Drosophila melanogaster: one gene and its partner. The gene in region 1 interacts genetically with each later gene. Each region holds a gene or a part of one and is shown on either strand. Other genes may lie near its edges.

Region 1 (3,757 bases):
TTTTTCGTTCGTGTTTCTGGCTTTTCTTGGAATGTTTCTGAATGGTTTTTGCTGGAGCTTTTTGCCTGAAGTTTTTATGAACTGCTGAGATTTATAATCTGACCAGGCTGCAAAGCATTGCTACCAAAAAAAAAAGAAAAAAGTGCAGCATAAATCAGGGAGCCCTTTTGGTGGAAACTCAAGATCTTGAAGAACATTCCGAGTAAATCAAGTTGAACAGCATAATTATGCAAAGCAAAAGTATCCCATAGTTTGCGGCTGCAAAAAACTCTCTTCTGGCGAAAGCGGGGGCCAAGTTGGCATTTAATTACACTGTTATTATAATATATTTTCACCCACTCTCGGTTGGTTTCGTTCTCAGCCGCCCCAAACCAATTCATTACTCATTTCAATGGGAAATTTTCCCCATTTTCCATTTTGCCTTTGCCACTTTTCTTTTTTTTCTTCGTTTTGTTTGTTATCGCAGTAATTTATGCAGTTGACAGTCAAATAATTTGGCACACAGTATACATTAAAATAAATTAACTTTACAAAAGAGCTGGGAGAAGAGTTTGTGGTAAGAATATGTGCATGCTTCGGCAGAAATTCATTGGATTTTAAACTGAAATGTGGGACTATATTTGAAATAGTCTAAATAGTCTTTATATACGATCGATTCGAAGAGTTGTAGTCATGCCAAATGATTCATCTTCGGAAACGTGAGAGACTGGAGACCAGTAGAATCCAGTCAATCGTAACTTTTTAGATATATATGTACGTATGTGCGTATGTATGTATGTGCGTTCATGTGATCCAGCCAAAATCAGCTAATTGCTAATTGTGTTTATATATTTCATTTGTTAACCCTCTCTCAACAATTGCTATGTTCAAGTGCAAACTGCAAAGATTTATTGAGTTTTTTAGCTGGGTAATTCATTCTAAATTACTGGTATCGCTATAACCTTAATGGATATACTCCCCCTGATTATTAAAATTAATGCCCCAAAACGTATTTTGAATACTTTAGCTTATTGCGAAGCAAAGTCTAGTATAGTGTTACATAGTTTGAACAGCTGTTTTTAGTTTTCTATACCAATGCATATTGAAGACGTCAAAAACTGGAATTATTACAAAAATGAATATTATGTTTTTACAAATGTCAAAGCAGCAACAACTAGCGTAAAGCTGTAAAAGAATTGCATATGTATATGCAAATCTGATTTTGCACCACAATAAACTCGTTTTGACTTGGCTTTAAATCCGAAGCTCAAGTTAAGCTCAACTTTGGCTGTTGTTACTGTTTTTTTTTTTTTTTTGGTTTTAAACATTTACCATATATATATCGGGATCGGTTTGTATTTGAGTTGCTTTTTTTGGTATATTCCAAAAAGCCGAGTTTTGTTGTCAGTCTGTTTTTGTTTTGATCACATTCGTATGTATAATTAATAAATAAATCCGGTTCGGGCCTTATATAACTTTCTTGCTCATTCAGTGGATTTTTGCCAACGTTTCGGTTTTAACTATTTATTAATTCCAAGAACACCTCGCACAGCACACAGCACACGGAATGTGGGGAAAATCGCGAAAAACCGAAATAACGACAACGCGACACCGATTAAAACGATCCCCGTGTTAAGAGCCCGGTGCCCGGTAAATGGATGGCTGGGATCGGCTTGGCCCAAAAGGCCTGGACTACTTAGGTGTTAACTTTTTTACTATGACCCCCCCGGAAATTGGAAAAAGGTTACACTATCCCTACGCGGACATTTGGACAACCGACGACGACAGTGGGCCGAAAGCGAATGGAAGCGGAGGGAAAACGGAACGCGTTTGTCCGGCAAGCGGTAAGCGGTTAGCTCGATGCGGCGGCTCAAATTGCTCTACTGTACTGGCTGACTCTGGCCGCACGCTCAGCGCTGTTTGAGTCGAGAGGAAAGAGTGCGAGCGTGCAAAGAGCGGAAGAGAGCGACAGCTGTTACAGGGTGTTTCGGCCTGTGTGTGTGTGCACTGAGAAAAATCGAACAAATTGGCCCTGATTTCAACTAAATGTGGTGTTAAGATCACTTTGAGGGAAGAGTGATCTTACTACTTTTCTATCGATTTGGAAAAGGTCGTCATCAAAGGGTATTGCCTTATTCTATTACGCGCTTTTAATACAACCTATTAAGCCATTATTATCATAGTGTTTTATTTTATTTATTATATTACAAGTTGTTAAGTCCTCTTAAAACTTTAAAGTGATTTTTTCAGTGCACCAGTACGTTTGTGGATTTGCTCAGTTCCATTGTGTTTATTTACTACCAACGACGACGTCGTTTTGCTTCTTCCATCTCACCTCCGCTCTGCTGCGTTTGTATTTGTTGTGATAATGATAAAACTGCGACGCGTTTCTGCAGCTTGTAGGTTTTCAAGAGTGGGAGTGAGATAGCAGAAGTTGAGCGAGCGAGAGTGGCGTTTAAGGTATCTCGGCCAGGTATAATCTCAGATGCGCTGCATTTAGAGATCGCGATTTGGTGACCGTGGCTTAAAAGATTTGCGGTTGGGATAAGTTGAGAAAATTCTTGGAAAACACGAGCTCAATTTTATTATTTAACTCTGGGAATTTCCCAAATGGGCCAGTGCTAAGATAATTACAAAGCCGGGTAGTTCAAAAAGGTCCTCTTATTGTTTTGTAATATCTCTGGCTCTCAGATTTATCGCTAACCCATACGCCTTGGATTTAAAGTTCGGAATTGTCTTTAGTCGTCTTTCTTTAGCAGCGCTCAAATTCTTGGAAACTTTGTAAAATAAATTATGAATTTTGCACGGGTGTAAAAATTACAAGTTTTAAGGATGTTATCTTTAAAAACTTGCGTAATAAAAATTACTAATCCCGAAAATTTTTTTGTCTTCGAAATCAGGATTTGAGATACCCCATTGAAGTGATAGAAGGGCATTCAAAACCAGTTGGTTTCGTTGGTTCTGCAGCTGCCAGTTTTTTCCACATGGAGTATGAAGAGCGAGTGGTTTGGTTTGAATGGAAATGATTATGGCACTCAAGAGAGTCATCAAAGAGAGTTACCAAAGACTTAGCTATTAACAAAATGCAAAAGATGGCTAGGTGGTTATGAAATCCCAACGGACATACAAAACAAATGAAAAGAATAAAAACTGATTAACTGAACAATAATCAAGGCTCGGTAATCAATGTATTGAACTTATCGATTTGAATTAGTTGCCCAACCTAAATTCCGTGACAACAATGGCAAAATGATCGATCGAAACCGTAGAACAAAAGAGCGCGCGATGCAAGGTCGTTCGCTCTTTAAGAGAAAATTGTACCCTAAGAGAAACATAGATAACTCCGAAAGATAAATACCCAAATGTGCGCGTGAGACAGTCATACATATAGATAATAAGAGAGTTTTCAGCAATGAAACGTGCGAAAAATTGCAATGCAGCAGCGACTTTAATCCAGGTAGCCCATAAAATCAGGTAGTAAAAAGAATGGTATCAAAACTATTGGGAGCAAACCATTGCTACCTACACATGGCACCCAATCGCGCCAACATTATCGCAATTTAAATGCAGAAAAAACAAAGTGCTGCAACTGATGAAAAAAGCAGACTTGCACTCAGAAAAAATGTAAATTCTTATTGCTATCATTTAATAATACAAATATTTCCAAATTTCATTAAAAGATGACATAAAATTTTCAAACTTTTTCGAGCTTGGGATAAGTTATTCAAAAAGTAATAAAATCAAAATTAACCATAATAAGTGCATACTTATGAATTGA
Region 2 (3,757 bases), on another chromosome or scaffold:
TCGTTGCTAAATCCTTACAAGTTTCATTAACAAATATACTCTATATACTTGGTTTTCTGTGATAAAAATAAACGCTGCGCTGCATTTGGGCAATGTTGCCTGTTTTTTTTGTCGCTGCCTACACGTTTCACTTCTGCATTTGCAATTCCGTCAACCCATTTCGCTAGAGATTAGGTAGCTACATAAGATAGGAGTGTACGCTAGCATTCGAAAACACACACAAACTTTATTGCTAATGATAATAATAAACTTAATTGATAAATGTTAATTTCTCGTATCTATATAAATGAAAATTTATGATGCCATAATTAAATTACGCGGGGAGCCCTAAACTAAAAATGTAATTAAAAGGAATTAACTGAAAATTAAACAAGAATGTGTTCACTGCGTGTGCGCCAGGATCCAAGGATGCACCATCACCTGATCCAGCGGTAGGCGGTGCTGCGGATTAAGGACCAGCAGCTTGGAAATGAGATGGGATGCTGCCTTGGAAATGTGCTCCGGCAGTTTGTAGTCCACCTTGAGAATCTTCTTGTAGGTCTCGTCATAGTTCTTCGAGTAGAAGGGAGCGTGGCCCACTAGCAGCTCAAAGCAGAGCACACCCAGGCTCCATAGATCCACGTTTTTCGTGTGCGGCTTGCCCTGAACCATTTCGGGTGGCAAGTAGTCGACAGTGCCGCACAGTGTCATGCGCATGGAGTTCGGCTCGTGCACGGACCAACCGAAGTCGGCGATCTTCAGGACGCCCTTGTGCCCGAGCAGCAAGTTCTCCGGCTTGATGTCCCTGTGTATGATGTCCCGCTCATGCAGATAGAGCAGCGCCGAGCACAACGCCTGAATATAGGTGGCCGACTGGCGTTCATCGAAACGTTTCATCGGCTGTGCCTGCAAGGCGTTGAAAAGCGTTCCTTGTGGCGCATACTCCAAGATCAGATATATGCGCACGTCGTCGTGAAAGTAGGCATACAGACGCAGGATATGCGGATGACGTAGGTGCGATTGTATCTCGATCTCACGACGCACCTGGTGCTCCACATTGGACTCGCCAATCTGGCGCTTAAAGAGCACTTTTAGGGCCACCACGAACTGGGATTCCTTTTCCCGCGCCAAATAAACGTTGCCAAACTTGCCCCGTCCCAGCAGGCGACCAATATCAAAGTTGTTGAGCTCCCAGGTCTTCTTCGGCTTCTGGGGCTGGGTTTCTGCAGAAAATTACAATTGAGTTTGGTAATTGCAAAAGATTACAGCTGAACCATTAACCCACCAGTCTTGGTTTTCTCTTTTTCAGCGGAGCTGCTGGCCGCACCCAGTTCCTTGGAGGATTCAGAGCTCGCAGCAGTGGGTTTCTGCTTGGAAAGTGACTCAGGCTTCTTGATAGGTGCTACTGGAGCCGGAGCAGCAAACTCTGATGTGGTCTTCTTCACGGACGGCACCATGGGTTTTTGGAAGTTGTTTCCTTCGGAGGAAGCTATGGAATTGGAGCCTCCTAGGCCTGGCTTCCTGATCAAAGCGCCAGAGGATCCTGGCAAGGGTTTGCTAGCTGGAGCCATATTCTCGCTGTTGGGCTGTATCACAATGGTACCAAATAAGAGTTTCAGCTGCACTCCAGAGATTTACCACTTAACGTACCTTCTTTCCCAATAGCAAGTTCTTTTGCATATTGTGCACTGCAGCTGATTTTTCTGGCATTCTGTGCGGAGCATTTTCCTTGGGACGCAGCACATGGTCAGACGGATGGGACATGACGGCACAGGCACTCGACAACTAACAGAACAGATTACAATTTTGGTCAGTTAACAATGAAAGCCGATATTGGGTAAAACATTCACGACTCCCGGGATCCTGTGAAAATAAAATGCCGTTCGTTTGAATTGTGAAGCGGGCGTGTGCGTGATGAGGCGAATGGCAAGTGTGCGATACTATCGGTTGGTTGAAGAATATCGTGACTTTGTAGTGTTAGAAAATGTTATATTGTGTATTATTTCAATTTGAAATCAAGAGAATTATTGAATAGTGCTCTAAACTTTGGCATTTATGTTATTTTAACCTTAATTTCTATCTCTATACAAATACATCTATCAAAGCGTCTTAATTTTGAAAATATGTTAATTCGTCGCACTTTATTTTGATTAACCGGACGATAGACTATCGGAAGATATTTATAAATATCGTTAATTGTGTACATCTCAATTCCAATATTTTTTATTTCTGGTGACTGTGAACCAGAACAGCTGTGATTTTATCGGGCATCTCTGAACATCAGGTGTTATTAACAAGCAAAGTTTTTATTGGAATTCGTCGTTTATGATATGATGCCGAATCATGGACACACCGGAGATCCACGTAAATATAAGCTCGCAGACTTGCCGCGTCTGCCTGGAGACGCACGAGACCAATCTGTATGTCCACGATGAAATCAAATACAACGACCTTAAGTTGGAGCTCTGGCAGTTGTTGGAGGCAGTTTCCAAATTGAAGGTAAAGAGCTACAATTTCAAGAAACTTCGAAAAATAAGTTCAATTATTTCCAGTGGACATGGACGGACCCAAATCTGCCTATGCATCTGTGTCAAAATTGCGCCCGCCGGCTGATCGGCGCCTATGAGTTCATCGTCGAAGTGGAAAACGCCCATGAAACTTTACAGAATCTCTTCGAGCAACAGGAAGTTGCTGCCAAGCCGGATGAAGTTCATGTGGATGTCGTGGAGCTTATAGACCAAGACGATGTGGTCAGTATGGCACAATACCTGTCCACGTCTTTTGCCGAACAGCACGTGGAAATGGAGGAGAAGTATGGAGACCAAGACTGTTCAGCTTTTACTTCAGATGTGGGCGAAGAGCCACTCTATGCGAGCGAGGATCGTGATGATGAGCCTGAAGACTCCTTTCAGCTGAAGCCTCGGCCAGATGAAATAGAAAACAGAGAATTGTCGCGACCTTCCCAGCTGGGCAGTCGTTTGAACCATTCGGCGAACTTCATCTACAAGTGCGCCGTCTGTCCGCGTGTCTTTGCCAAAAGTGAATCTCTGACTCGTCATTTTTCCCAAGCCCACAAACTGACAGCGGACGTGGCCGCCATGAAGCTGGCCAACGAGAGCTGCGGCACCGGTCTGCTAACCTGTGAGCACTGTCCGCGGACATTCAAGCGTCAGGACACACTCCGGCGACACATGCAGGCATTCCATCCCGACGCAATCGCATTGGAACCCGAAGAAACGACGGACAATTCCGCCCGAAAACGCATAGCTAAGCGGCGAGACTGTCCGCACTGTGGCCTGAGCTTTCCCGTATCTAGCCTTACCATCCACATTCGGCGACATACGGGCGATAATCCGTACAAGTGCGATCAATGCGAGAAGGCCTTTCCGCGCAGCCAAGATCTTAGTCTTCACATGCGTCAGCACACCGGCGAGCGTCCCAGTGAGTGCAAGATCTGCTCCAAGAAGTTTATTTCGCAGAACAAGCTGGCGCGACACATGCGATTGCACACGGGTCAAAGGCCGTACTCCTGCAAAATGTGCAGCAAGAGCTTTGTGCAGTCCAACGACCTTAAGATCCATATGCGGCGCCACACGGGCGAGCGACCATATCAGTGTGGAGTGTGCGGCGAGAGCTTTGTGTGCGGTTCGCACCTGAATATCCATCGTAACCGAAAGGGACATCTGATTGCTGTGATTCCGGGCAATGAAGTAGAGGCAAATTTTGCTGCTGATCCTTATGTAAATGCTAGGGTCAACCAGCGCCGTTCGGAGGATAT

What was found. Genes that interact genetically often act in the same process or in processes that back each other up.
Region 2: of numb (region 1) and aurA, changing one suppresses a phenotype caused by changing the other (phenotypic suppression), as found in Drosophila melanogaster (2 studies listed by BioGRID).

The regions. Positions count from the first base shown.
Region 1 is NT_033779.5:9,447,936-9,451,692, reverse strand, and holds the start of numb (numb), read right to left. Parts: upstream 1,864-3,757; 5' UTR 1,312-1,863; intron 1,098-1,311; 5' UTR 1,073-1,097; intron 1-1,072.
Region 2 is NT_033777.3:11,961,278-11,965,034, reverse strand, and holds aurA (aurora A), read right to left. Parts: upstream 1,912-3,757; 5' UTR 1,744-1,911; coding exon 1,630-1,743; intron 1,566-1,629; coding exon 1,265-1,565; intron 1,203-1,264; coding exon 382-1,202; 3' UTR 209-381; downstream 1-208. Other genes in the region: CG3281 (uncharacterized protein), read left to right, coding at 2,323-2,478, 2,532-3,757.